Sus scrofa: one gene and its partner. The protein of the gene in region 1 interacts with the protein of each later gene in a biochemical or structural test. Links are inferred from orthologs where the notes say so. Each region holds a gene or a part of one and is shown on either strand. Other genes may lie near its edges. The genes, in order: ARIH2 and CKB.

Evidence for each region.
Region 2: of the proteins of ARIH2 (region 1) and CKB, one has a biochemical effect on the other in vitro, tested with the Homo sapiens proteins (2 studies listed by BioGRID). The link is inferred for Sus scrofa from reciprocal best matches to the Homo sapiens genes ARIH2 and CKB.

The regions. Positions count from the first base shown.
Region 1 is NC_010455.5:31,567,228-31,574,222, forward strand, and holds the start of ARIH2 (E3 ubiquitin-protein ligase ARIH2), read left to right. Parts: upstream 1-2,901; 5' UTR 2,902-2,902; coding exon of another isoform or gene 2,903-3,156; exon of another isoform or gene 3,157-3,236; coding exon of another isoform or gene 3,237-3,321; exon of another isoform or gene 3,322-4,542; intron 4,543-5,863; exon of another isoform or gene 5,864-5,864; 5' UTR 5,865-5,928; intron 5,929-6,995.
Region 2 is NW_018084979.1:2,070,314-2,077,308, reverse strand, and holds CKB (creatine kinase B-type), read left to right. Parts: upstream 1-3,287; 5' UTR 3,288-3,450; intron 3,451-3,512; 5' UTR 3,513-3,542; coding exon 3,543-3,735; intron 3,736-3,934; coding exon 3,935-4,089; intron 4,090-4,163; coding exon 4,164-4,296; intron 4,297-4,641; coding exon 4,642-4,813; intron 4,814-5,503; coding exon 5,504-5,627; intron 5,628-5,799; coding exon 5,800-5,989; intron 5,990-6,074; coding exon 6,075-6,253; 3' UTR 6,254-6,466; downstream 6,467-6,995. UniProt on the Homo sapiens protein: Reversibly catalyzes the transfer of phosphate between ATP and various phosphogens (e.g. creatine phosphate).

The DNA of each region.
Region 1 (6,995 bases):
GTGGTGTAGGTTGAAAACGCTGCTCAGATCCAGAATTGCTGTGGCTGTGGCATAAGCTGGTAGCTCCAATTCGACCCTTAGCCTGGGAACTTGCCACAGGTTCTGCTCTAAAGAGAGAAAGAGAAAGAAAGAAAGAAAGAAAGAAAGAAAGAAAGAAAGAAAGAAAGAAAGAAAGAAAGAAAGAAAGAAAGAAAGAAAGAAAGAAAGGAAGGAAGGAAGGAAGGAAGGAAGGAAGGAAGAAAGAAAGAAAGGAAAGAAAGAAAGGAAAGAAAGAAAGAAAGAAAGAAAGGAAAGAAAGAAAGGAAAGAAAGAAAGGAAGAAAGAAAGAAAGGAAGAAAGAAAGAAAGAAAGAAAGGAAAGGAAGGAAGGAAAGGAAGGAAGGAAAGAAAGAAAGGAAAGAAAGAAAGGAAGAAAGAAAGAAAGAAAGAAAGAAAGAAAGAAAGGAAAGGAAGGAAGGAAAGGAAGGAAGGAAAGAAAGAAAGGAAAGAAAGAAAGAAAGAAAGAAAGGAAAGAAAGAAAGAAAGAAAGAAAGAAAGAAAGAAAGAAAGAAAGAACATGGTTGGATCTGTGCCCTTAAGAAACTCACCTTTAGAGAGTTCCAGTTGTGGCACAGCAGAAACGAATCCGACCAGTAACCATGAGGTTGTGGGTTCAATTCCTGGCCACGTTCAGTGGGTTAAGGATCTGGCATTGCTGTGAGCTGTGGTGTAGTTCACAGACTCGGCTATCTGGCCTTGCTGTGGCTATGGCATATGCTGGCTGGCAGCTCTATCTCCGATTAGACTCCTAGCCTGGGAACCTCCATAAACCGCCAGTGGGGCCCTAAAAAGCAAAAAAAAAAAAAAAAAAAACCAACCAACCAAACAAAAAAAACAACAAAGAAAGAAACTCACCTTTAGCAAGGAAAAGACAGGGCCGGTACATGGGATTCCAATACATTGTACAATACACCCATATGCTTGATGTGTGAATGATGCAAATGCAATAATTACGCAGAAAAAAATGTTCCCTTTTATTTATTGGAGAGGATTTATTACCAATAACACAAAGTGAGAGATTCTAATTAAGTAAAAGATATCTTGTTACCAGAAAATACATTTTGTGTCCTTTACTAATGTCATGATGTAATGGATATGTTTTGTCAAAACAAATAAAATAAGTACACTGGGTTATACACACACTTTTGCGTTACTAATATATAAAATTTATAATTTTTTTTTTTTGTCTTTTTGCCTTTTCTTGGGTCGCTTCCGTGGCATATGGAGGTTCCCAGGCTAGGGATCGAATCGGAGCTGTAGCCACTGGTCTACGCCAGAGCCACATCTGAGCCGCATCTGCAATCTACGCCACAGCTCACGGCAACGCCAGAACCTTAACCCACTGAGCGAGGCCAGGGGTCAAACCTGAAACCTCACGGTTCTTAGATTCGTTAACCACTGAGCCACTGGGGAACTCCTAGAAAATTCATAATCTTATGTTATTCACTCCTTACTATTAATTTTCACTTCAAATTAATTTGGGGCTTCTTTGTATTTGAATGCACTTGATTTGGATACATGCTGTGAGTTAAACTGGAACCTGAAAATCGTGTACAAGAAATATACCAATAGGAGTTCCCCCAGTGGCTCAGTGGTAAGGAACTGGATTAGTACCCATGAGGACACAGGTTCCAACCCTGGTCCTGGCGTCAGTGGGTTAATGATGCAGTGTTGCCATGAGCTGTGGTGTAGGTTGCAAACGCGGCTGGTTCGGATCTGGTGTTGCTGTGGCTGTTGGGTAGGCCACAGCTGCAGTATGATACCATCCCTAGCCTGAGAACTTCCATATGCTTCGAGTGCGGCCCTAAAAATACCACCCCCCCCAAAAAAAAAACCCGAAGCAGCTTTTCCATGCTGTCCAGCAGCAACCTGAGTGAGCCTACATGGTTCTATCTATCCATAATACTTGTTAAAGGTCATAGAAGGTACTGAATGTCATATTGGCACTTTCTATACTTCTTGAAGAAACTGTGCAGCAAGAAAGTTAAGATTCAGCCTTGGGTGAATGGGAGAAGTAGGCTGCGGAAAGGGAAAAGGAAGCTTGGTGTGGTCCTGCAGATCCGCGGCCACCAGGGGACGGCATCTGAATGTAGGCAGAAAATCCCGACCCGGTGCGCTGACCCGAAGACCCAGCTCTCCTTTGATCTTTGATCAGAGAGCGGATGGGAAATAGAAGTCCTTTATCCATTCCACGAACGTCAGGGTGTCTTCTCCGTGCCGGACACGGCTAACAAACGGTGAAGTGAGGAGTCCATCAGAAAAACTCGGGTTTAGGAGTTCCCGTCGTGGCACAGTGGTTAAAGAATCTGACTAGGAACCATGAGATTGCGGGTTCGATCCCTGGCCTTGCTCCGTGGGTTAAGGATCCGGCGTTGCTGTGAGCTCTGGTGTGGGTCGCAGACGTGGCTCGGATCCCATGTTGATGTGGCTCTGGCGTAGGCCGGTGGCTACAGCTCCGATTCGACCCCTAGCCTGGGAACCTCCATATGCCGCGGGAGAGACTCAAGAAAAGGCAAAAAGACCAAAAAAAAAAAAAGAAAGAAAGAAGAAAAACTCAGGTTTAGGGTATCCCGGCGGGCGGCGCTGGTAGGAGAAAGCAGGAAGAGATGCAGTGAGTGACCCCTCTCCAATAAGCCAAACCCTTTCCTCTGCTGCCCCTCGCAGCAGTCGGCGCCGGCAGTGCGCTGGGCACACTCTGGGTCGGAGCGCTAAGCTGCAGAGAAGCAACCGCGCAGAAGCGTTATCACCCAGCGCCAGTCACGACCCGGGCGACCGTGGGGCGACCTCAGGCCGGAAGTGACGCAACTGCTCCGAACACTTCCGGAGCTGCGAAGAAGGCTCCGCCAGAGGAAGCAGCGCGGGCCTTGACCGGCGTTGGCTCGCCGCCTCCGCCGCCGCCGCGCCTGTGTCCGGTTCCTCAGGCCTGGCCCGACCCAGTTTGGTCCGCCCGGGCTCAGCGGCCCCGGGGCCGCGGCTCCCGGTGAGTGCGCATTGCGAGTCGCGGCCTTGTTTACCCGAGCGGGCCGGGGGAGGGGGGGTGGGCTCTCCTCGCGCCTCCCTAGCCAGGCCGGGGCTCCGCCTTCGTCGCTGCCCGCGAGGTCCCGGCGCCCCCCGCAGCCTTTTCACTGTCTCAGCGCCCTCTGCTACCCGCCGAGGGGCGGCTAAAAACCGTAGTCTGAGCGGACTAGCGCCTGGCGCTTCTCCGTTTTTCCTCTTCTAGCCGCTTGCTCTGCTCGCGTAAAGGTCGGAGGCCGGCGCCTCTCACCGACTGGCGCCGGCGCATCTGGGCCCTCTCCGCCGGCCACACCAGGGAGACTCACTGCCTCCGGAGTTTCCCATTCGAGTCATCACTGGGAACTCTCGCAATGCCTCCCGCGCGGCTAGTTAACGCCCGCCAGTGAAGGCTCCCCAGCGCGTGGGCTCCGTGTCCTCGCGGATATCCCGGCCCTTCGGACACGATATGCAGCCCAGGAACTGCGCCGCCGCCTCGGGGGACCCTGCTGTGCTAGCCGCGGGAGAGGCTACTGTGTTCTCGGATGACTTCACCTCAGTACTGATTGTTACCCTGTCCCATAGAACTTTCTCTCACAATGCGTATATTCTGTACCTTTGAGTAACCCTTGACCACTAGCCACCCGTAGCCCTTGAGCATTTGATTTATGGATAGTGCGACTGAACAGCCAAATGTTAAATTTTGTTTAATTTTTAAGTTAAATAACCGTGTGTTGTTAGTGACTACCGTATTACCTTGCGGATTTAATGTAGGGTTTTGAAACTAAGTTGCTGATTCATATTTTTTTACTAGGTTTTCTTCGGAGATGTAGATTTAGTAAATGACTATTTAGCGCTAAATATTATATCTGTAGTTAAACATCGTTAGATCCACCAAAATGTTTTTGTTTTGCTCATGTCAACTTTAAACTGAGAAGTCTTCCGTTTCAATTCTTTAGCACGGAGTGGATGTCAGGTCTTCTGAACACGTGACTTTGGGGGTGGAGTGGGAAGTAGTTTCAGTTATTCCTTTTCTGTTTGGGATGTAGGGATAGTATTTAACATCCAGAGGAAATCAAACCGTTATCATCTGTTCTGTAATAAGGCAATAACGTACTGGTCTCCTTAAGCAGTGTCAGTATTCTTTCAAGTAGAATAAAGTTTATTTAACTTTGAAAAGGTAACAAAAATTAAGATTTTATTTAAGTCTAGACTTAGAACACTCAGTAAGTATGAAATGGTGTTCTTCTTTTTGGAAGGGAGCCTGATGTTTTCCCCTCCTTCTTGAGTATTAAGTTGATGAGAAACCTGTGGGCAACCCTTAAAGCCCAAATCCTGGAGAGAAATCCGGAGAAAGTGAAAACCTTGCTCTTTTATTGTAATTCTGGAGGTGGCTTTGTGAATAGTATTAGGCTCTCCAGGAGAGTGATGGGGAGTTAGGAGTCCTCATAGGCCACGGATCTGGTGAAAGTGTAACACTGGACTCTACTGGTTGGCAGCAGTGTGGACCTGGGCAAGTTATTTAATCTTTTTGAACTCTTTTCCTCATTTATAAGAAGGGGATGATAGCTACTTTGTAGAGTTATAAACATTTAATGAGAATGAATCTGACCTGAAATTGGTGTCATTAAATGAAAGCTATTATTGGTAGTGCTGTTTTGCAGATGGGAGCAATATTTATAATACTGTTTATGCTTATTTGCCCAGTAAGCAGTATCTTATGTAAAAATGCAGATAAAAGTCAAATTTTAGGAATGGAGTTCACATTGTGGCTCAGTGGGTTAGGAACCCAACAGTGCTGGTGAGGATGAGGGCTTGATATCTGGCCTCTCTTAGTGGGTTGAGGATCCGGCGTTGCCACAAGCTGCAGTGTAGGTTGCAGATGTGGCTTGGATCTGGTGTTGCCATGACTGTGGTGTAGGCCTGCACCTGCAGCTCTGATTCTGCCTTTAGCCTGGGAACTTCTGTATGCCACAGGTGGGGCTGTGAAAAGAAAAAAAAGAAAAGTCACATAGCCCTAAACATGTCAGAAGAGAGGTGGGAAATGGGTGTTAACATTACCTAGTGAGCATTCTGTTGGGGACTTTTTTTGTTGTTGTTGTTGTTGTTTGTTTTTTAGGGCTGCACCCACTGCATATGGAGGTTCCCAGGCTAGGGCTTGAATCAGAGCTATAGCTGCCAGCCTACACCACAGCCACAGCAACATGGAATCCGAGCCACATCTGCAACCTATACCACAGCTCATGGCAACGTGGGGATCCTTACCCACTGAGCAAGGCCAGGGATCAAACCTGCGTCCTCATGGATGCTAGTCAGATTTGTTAACTACTGAGCCACAATGGAAACTCCTGGGGCGTTTTTTTATTTGAAAATAATTTTTTCATGAATAGAGATCTGAAGTATTGGCAGTATTCTCTAAGTGTTAGATTACCACAGTAGAGATGACTTTAGAGTAAAAGTCCAGTTTAAGTCAGTTGCAATTTGCTTTGTCACTCTCTATGTAACATTTAGGATTGAAATTGTGGTAATTAATTTAGGGAATCTGAAAAATAAGAGTGAAGTGGTGGGCTTTCAAACTGAGGGAGGGAACTGGGTATCCGTTTTTACCACCAGTACTCCACGTTAAATTATTGTCAGATGTTTAACTCTTTTCTTAGAAGGTCATGTCACTCTTGTCAATATGTAATTATATCATATGGGTTTCTATGGGACTTAAAATAGTTTCTGGTCCCTTGCTGCTTGTCCTTTTAAATGTTTACTTTTTAAAAAATAAATTAGCAAATTTAGGGTACCAATTTAAAAGTATATAAATAGAATTATATCTCTTTATTTTAGATGGAAATTATACAATATAGGCTATTTGGGTGACATCTTCCTGAAAGATCTTCAAGAATTACAGGTATTTTTAATTTAAATTTTAAATTTTAATTAAATTTTAATTTTCTCCTAAAGGAAAAAAAACCATAGTTGAGTTCAATTGTGATTAGGTGGTTCTGCCATACGAAACAATTCATTAAAAGTCAAATTGCGGAGTTCCTGTCGTGGCGCAGTGGTGAACGAATCCGACTAGGAACCATGAGGTTGAGGGATCGATCCCTGGCCTTGCTCAGTGGGTTAACGACCCGTTGCCGAGAGCTGTGGTGTAGGTCGCAGACGCGGCTTGGATCCTGCGTTGCTGTGGTTCTGGCGTAGGCTGGCAGCTACAGCTCCAATTAGACCCCTAGCCTGGGAACCTCCATATGACGCAGGAGCGGCCCAAGAAATGACAAAAAGACAAAAAAAAAAAAAAAAAAAAAAGTCAAACTGCAAGTATGTTAACTGCCCTCTCATTAACGTGACTTTTTTAAAAGAAAAATTCGAGCATTTGTATGTAACATCAGACAATGATATTTTTATAATATCATTAAAATGTAACTTGGGAGTTCCTAAGGTTCTGCACTGTCACTGCTGCAGCTTGGTTCACTGCTCTGGGGCAGGTTTGATCCTTGGCCTGGGAACTTCCATATGCTGTGGGCTTGGCCAGATGAACAAATAAGTAAAATGTGGCTTGGTAGTCCTTTTGACTGGCCATATCTTCAGGACACATTCATTTAAAAATTTTGGTTTTAATTATAGTTGATTTTTTTTTTTTTTTTTTACTTTTTTGGCCTAACCACAGCATATGAAGTTACCAGGCCAGGGATCAGATCCAAGCTGCAGTTGATACCTAAGCTGCAGCTTTGCCAATGCAGGATTCCCAACCCACTATGAGGGGCTGAGGAATTGAACCTGCGTCCCAGTTGTGCCATAAGGGGAACTCCTGTGGTTGATTTTTTTTCTTTGGAGAGATTATCAAACAGGTTTTTTTCTGTTTTTGTTTGTTTGTTTGTTTGTTTTTTTGCTTTTTCAGGGGGCACCTGTGACATATGAAAATTCCCAGCTAGAGGTCAACTCAGAGCTACAGCTTCTGGCCTACACCACAGCAAC
Region 2 (6,995 bases), on another chromosome or scaffold:
GGCCCTGGAGGGAAGGGAGAGGCTGAGGATGCTGACAGAGGGAGGCTGCTCCGCTCCTGCGTCTCAGGCAGTGATCAGGTGACCCAAGGTCCCTCTACTCTGAACAGCTCAGCCTTCTGCCCCAACATGCTCTGTGACCACAAGGCAGTCCCTGCCCCTTTCTGACCCCAACCAGCTTCCCCTGTGCGTTGTGCGGAATTCAGGGGCAGGGCACCTGCAGGACGCAATGGCCCTGGGCTGCGCGCTGAGGAGACAGACCCTGAGGAGGCCATCCTGTGCCCTCCCACCCGGCTCGCCCCCGCCTGCCCAGGTCTGTGTCTGCCCCGCTCAGCGGACCATTCCTGTGGATGAAAGGCCGGAACTCCTTTGAGGCTCCCCACCCCCTCCAGGGCCCAGTGGTTAATATGTAACCATGTGTGATTTCTGAGGAACCTGGAACGTAACTGGCCAGGTGATGTCACCCAGTTTCTTGCCTGGACGCCACCAAACCGGCTCCCGTGGGCCCTGGGGAGACTGGAGGGTCCACAGACAAGGGCTAGTTTAGCCATGGGCAGTGTTCTTCCCCCGGAGGCAGAGGCTGGTACCCCCCAGTCCCCCTCTTTGCTTCACTGCTCTGGGACACCCCCACCGGCTCCCCAGCAGCCCTTGCCTAGTGGGGGGCCTCAACCTGACTTGAGTCTAAAGGCCTGGAAGCCCCACCCCACTTCCACCGTCACAGCTGCTGACCATGCACTCTGTCACTGTCAGTCCGAGTCCAGCCCCCCGGGCTTGGCCCGCTGGGGGTCCCTGGGGTGGGCCCTGCGTCTGGTTAGCACAGGCCCAGGCCCTCGAAGATCACTCAGGGCTTGCCAGACCTCTGACCTGGTCCCCCTGTCACCCACCTTCTGATCTTCCCTTTGCTTATCTGCAAAAGTAGGACAAAACCCTCATCTCAGAAGGCTGGGGACCGGGGCAGGAGCAACCCCAGGGCCTGGCCCTGGGAAGACCCCAAGGCCCCTGGACTTCACCTCTCCTTGCTCCTGGAGGGAAGTGAGAACAATGGGGGTCCTTCCCTTCCCCCATCCCAAGTTGGTCAGGCAACTCGAGGGCGGGGAGGGGGAGGGGAAAGGTGGCCTTCTGGGAAGCTGCAGACAAAGAGCCCTGAGGCGGGCAGGTCTGAAAGCCAAGGAGGCTTTCAGGGCCAGCAGCTCTGTTTCCAGAAACAGAAACTTGAGCCCATCAGGCCTTTGGGGGTGGGGAACTGGGGAAGGCAGCTGCAGATCCTTCTAAAATTAGGGGAAGGGGCTGCAGGGGGCACAGAATGCAGGAATTTCAGGCTTAAGGGACACCTGCTGAGACCGCAGAGACTGGCGGGCGGGCGGAGGGAAGGCAGAAGTCCTGGTGTAGACAGGCCTGAGTGTCCCTCACTGCCGGGTGGCTCCCCTGCCTCAGTTTCCCGCTCGGAGGCAGACAGCGGGTGGGAGAATCCAGAATGTCCAGGGCCATTTGCCTTTTTACCTTGATCTGTTTTATGGGTCTAAAAACATGCTGACTGGGAGCAAGTCAAAGCATGCCAGGGTATGCAAGGAAAGAGGCAGGAGTCCCTCCCCGGTGAACACAGGACTGCATGGAGGCAGAGGCCGGCGGACTTCCCTTTCCTCCAGTGCCTCTTCCTCGGAGGCTCCAAATACACTGGAATTTCTACTCTATCCCTGCCCCCGAGGCTCTCATCTCCTTCCATCCCTTGAGGCTATTTTGGTCATTGGTTGGCTTGCTCCAGGCATCTTCTGTCCCCCAGCAGCAGCCCACAGAGCTCACTGTGCAGCCCTGGAGAAATTCTGCTAAACCCACACAGAGATAAGGGTTTCCTCCCTTCCTTGCTTCACTCACAAAGCAATATGATGGACATTAACCACACAAGCTCCAAGTCACGCTTTTTAATAGCTGCGTAATACTCCACACTGGGAAAATGCCTTCCCTATGCCCTGGCCAGTTCCCAAATGTTGGGCATCCAATAGTATCCAGATTTATTGGTGTTTGTTTCTCCTACTACACATCTCTTGGTCTACCTGCAAAGAGAAACGAGGCTGCCCTTTCCAAAGACTGGATTCCTAGAAGTGGTATTGCTGGGTCACGGAGAAGGAACATTTTACATTTTAATAGATCTTGCCAAGTGACTTTCCAAAAAGGATGTAGCAATTTGAAGCTGCGACAGCGTGTGAACGCCTGTCTCCCCACGTGCCACCCTGTAGCCCACACTGACTGGGGTCAATCTTCTGCAATTTGGGTGTGTGGTGGGTAGTGGACCGCATAGTCATTGTTGTCTTAACTTGCATGATTCAGATTTTTAGTGAGTTATTGTTTGTTAGCATTTCCCCTGTTTTTTTGCCTAGAGTCTCCAAGTTCTGCCTTTGGGGTGGGGGGTGGGGAGATGTATTTGTCTCCGACAGAGAGGGCCCAGGCCTAGAGGCTGTGCACTGCCCAGCAGCCTCTCAAGGCCATGTGTTCCTGCATCGACCAGGAGGGGCCGGGTCTGGGGAGGGGGGGTGGTCTCTGGCTGGGATCCCCAAAATCCCCTGGGAACTGCCCAAGGTCAATCTACCAAGGGTGCCGCCGGGCTGGGCGGCATCCAGACTTCGCCCTCCCTCTGCACCAAGATGGCCCGGGAGATGCCTGCGGGCACCTTGAGGAAGGTCAGAGGCTTGGGGCCAGCTCGGGCCGGCGGGAGAAGGGAGGGGTTTGGGGGGTGGCAGTACCTGCTGTGGAAGCCCTGGACGCTCTCGCCTGGCCCCTCGCTGGGAGCACCGCGGAGACTGGCGGGCGGAGGGAAGGCAGAAGTCATGGTGCAGACAGGCCTGAGCGTCCCTCACTGCCGGGTGGCCCCCCTGCCTCAGTTTCCCGCTCGGAGGCAGACAGCGGGTGGGAGAATCCAGAATGTCCAATGGCCTAAAGTTCCCGCTTTGGGATCCTGGGCGGGCGGGGTGGGAGGGCTGCAAGGGGTCCCAGCCAGGGGGTAGTCGCGGTGGGCAGCCTGGGAGGGGTGGGGGGGGGTGTAGGGGCCCCGGGCGGCGGACAAAGCGGCGGGCACCACCCCGCAGCGCGGTCCAATGGAATGAATGGGCTATAAATAGCGGCCAATGGGAGGCCCGCGTCGCGCCCCTTAAGAGCAGCTGGAGCTCTGAGCGACCGCTGTTCGCCTGCGACGCGCCCGGAGCTGCCGGTCTCTCGAGAGCTCCCACCCCTGCCTGGCCGCTCAGTGAGTGGGCCATAGGGCCCGGGCCGCTGGGGCAAGGGCTGCGCGGGACACTGGGGCAAGGGCTGCGCGAAGAGGCCGGGGCGTCCCGCGCTCGGCGCAGCCCCCCGGCCCACCGCCTAGGACGGGAGCATCAGCTAGGCTGGGGGTCGTCGTGGTAGATGTGATAGTCTCCTGCGCGCAGCGCAGACCTCGCCTGACCTTGGCCCGGTCCTTGGGTAGGTTTGCAGGTGGGAGGCTCAGAGCCTCGGGCCCCGCTGACCCCCACGTCTCCCCGCAGCTCGCCGCCGCCGCCGCCGCCGCCGCCGCCATGCCCTTCTCCAACAGCCACAACACGCTGAAGCTGCGCTTCCCGGCTGAGGACGAGTTCCCCGACCTCAGCGGCCACAACAACCACATGGCCAAGGTGCTGACCCCCGAGCTGTATGCCGAGCTGCGCGCTAAGAGCACGCCCAGCGGCTTCACGTTGGACGACGTCATCCAGACCGGCGTGGACAACCCAGGTACCGCACCCTACTCGCGGGGTCAGGGTGCCCGCGCCGTATACGTGACATATATCGGGAGTCTAGGACCCAGGGCATCCCCCAGCCCCCCTCGGGCCAAGGTCCCGGCGCCCCTTCTCCGCGCGCGGCCACAGGATCCTCAGCAGCTTGCCCGGGCCTGGCAGTGACGTCACTGTCCCCATTCCGTGTTCCCCTCTAGGCCACCCCTATATCATGACTGTGGGCTGCGTTGCTGGCGACGAGGAGTCGTATGACGTGTTCAAGGAACTCTTTGACCCCATCATTGAGGACCGGCACGGCGGCTACAAGCCTAGCGATGAGCACAAGACCGATCTCAACCCAGACAACCTTCAGGTGCAGGGCGGCCTCGGGCGGCGGGTCGGGGTAGGGAGGGCTCTCTCGACGCTGAACCCCGCTTGGTCTCCCAGGGCGGCGACGACCTGGACCCCAACTACGTGCTGAGCTCGCGGGTGCGCACGGGCCGCAGCATCCGCGGCTTCTGTCTACCCCCGCACTGCAGCCGCGGGGAGCGCCGCGCCATCGAGAAGCTCGCTGTCGAAGGTACAGGTCGGGCCGACTGGGTGCCTCCCGCGCCCCCCCACCCCTCGGTGCCGGTCCCTGCCCGCTTGTTTACCGGTCATCTGAGCCGCCGCCGCGCTCTTATCTGCGAGCCGGCTCCGGTTTCCTGGAGGGACAGGCCCAGCACCCTGGGTCTGCGGCGCACTGGGGGCCGGCGAGGGTCGGCCCGCCGCCCCGACCGACCGCGAGGACTGGATTCCCAGCAGGCTGGGCGGGCATTGGGAGGTGGGATGCACTCCTGTCGCGAGAGGGGGTTGAGGGTATGGGCACGGACCCTCCCCTCCCCCGCCCCCTCCCGCTCGTCCTCCTGAGCGCGCCCCTTCGCAGCCCTGTCGAGCCTGGACGGTGACCTGGCGGGGAGGTACTACGCGCTCAAAAGCATGACCGAGGCGGAACAGCAGCAGCTCATCGACGACCACTTCCTTTTCGACAAGCCCGTGTCGCCCCTGCTGCTGGCCTCGGGCATGGCCCGCGACTGGCCCGATGCCCGCGGCATCTGGTGCGTAAGGCCCAACCCCCCTCCCGCGGGTCCCTCCACCCCGCCCCTTCGTCCTCGAAGCGGCCGAGTCAGGAGGAAGAGGGAGGAGCCTTGCTCCTGGGAGAGGTTTGGTGCCGCCCAGGCCTCCTTGCAGGTGACCTTGAGCACGCAGGTGTGTGAAGGACCCTGGCTGATAGAGGCCTCAGCCTCTCGGGATCTTAGAGGTGGGGGACCCGTCCTGCTGGCTTTTCGCCTTCAAACACCCCGCCTTGGGAGAAGGACCTTGCCTTTTCTCTTTCTAGCCCACTTCCCGCTGGGACTCTGAGTTGCTGGGTGACGCAGAAGTTTCCTCGGTTGGGGAGTCGGGGGAGAAGGGCTTACCAGCTCCTGTTTCCACTTCCAAAGCCAGATAAAGTGCATTCTCCTGGCCACCTCTGCCCCTTCTCCCCTCTGTGGGGACTGTACCCCCCCATGCGCCACCCAGGCTAAACTGGGCAAGCTGGGAAGTGGCCCAAAGCCTTTTCATCCCCTCCCTGCCTGACCCCAGAGTGTAGACGGGGCTGGGGTCCTAGCAACAGCCCGCACCCCTGGTACAGGTGGGACGAGCACCTCTGGGACTTGAGAATTGGGTCTGGGGCCCCCTCGTTTTGGTTTCTGGACGTGGCCCGAGACCACAGTCCAGGGAGGAGGCTGACTGTGGGCCTTCCGCAGGCACAATGACAATAAGACCTTCCTGGTGTGGATCAACGAGGAGGACCACCTGCGGGTCATCTCCATGCAGAAGGGGGGCAACATGAAGGAGGTGTTCACCCGCTTCTGCAATGGCCTCACTCAGGTCAGGCCTGGCCACCCCCAGGCGGGGCTGCGACGGTGGGAGCCTGGTGCCTGGGAGGGGGCAGGACGAGGCCCTGGGGTTCAGGCAGATCTGTAAGGAGCTCCTGGGTCCCCTCTGGTCCCCTGGGGGTGCCTCAGCCCATCCTCCCCTCTGACACCTTCTCCGCCTCTAGATCGAAACCCTCTTCAAGTCCAAGAACTACGAGTTCATGTGGAACCCTCACCTGGGCTACATCCTGACCTGCCCATCCAACCTGGGCACGGGGCTGCGGGCAGGTGTGCACATCAAGTTGCCCCACCTGGGCAAGCACGAGAAGTTCCCCGAGGTGCTCAAGCGGCTGCGGCTCCAGAAGCGAGGCACAGGTGAGCTGGGTGGGGACTGCAGGCATCCCCTCAGGGTGCCTCCCTTGACACCCCCCCAACCCTGCTGACCCGTCTGTCTCCCCAGGCGGTGTGGACACCGCCGCTGTGGGCGGGGTCTTCGATGTCTCCAATGCTGACCGCCTGGGCTTCTCCGAGGTGGAGCTGGTGCAGATGGTGGTGGACGGGGTGAAGCTGCTCATCGAGATGGAGCAGCGGCTGGAGCAGGGCCAGGCCATTGATGACCTCGTGCCCGCCCAGAAGTGAAGCCCTGGCCTGCACCTGCTGCCACCACCAGCCCCGCTGCTTCCTAATTTATTGCCCGGGCAGTGCCCACCATGCACCCCTGAGGCTCACCCTTTGGTGGCTGAGTCCTTAGCCTCGCTGTAGAGACTTCTCCTGCCGCCCTCAGTAGAGTTTATTTTTGTGATGGCTAAGATGTTGCTGATGCTGAAATAAACAGGTTTTGGCCTGCCCCAAGTCTGAGTGGTGCCTCCTCTTTCCCAGGGCAGCCCAGGGCCCCGCAGTCGGGTTGTGAGGACTGAGCCCTGGGTCTGCCCTTCTGCGTGCCATGGGACAGGAAGCTGGAGGCTGTCCGGACAGTTAGCCTGCTGTACCCCCTCCCCAGTCCTATTCATGAGCCTCTTCTGCCATCCTGTCTACTTAGCTTCCTTGCAGGTTTTGGGTGGGCTGGGGGTGGGGCCGGGGGGGGTGGAGAGAGGAACCCCAGGGTGGCAGAGCTCTGCCCTGAGGACCTAAGGGATTTTCGGGCCTCGGGGGTAGAGCATTGCACGCTGCTTAGCCCCATCCTGCAGTGAGCAGTCCAGGGGCTGGCGGGGTAGGGGGGATGGGGACTGGAGCCCAGAAACTTGATGCCTTTTCCGGTGCTCCACCCCCAAGTCCTGTTACTTTTCTTCCTGGCAGCTTGTCCCTGCCACCATCCCCTCCCACCACCCCAACACCTACTCTAGCTCCTAAATAGTCTCTCTACTTCCCTCCCAACCTCCAC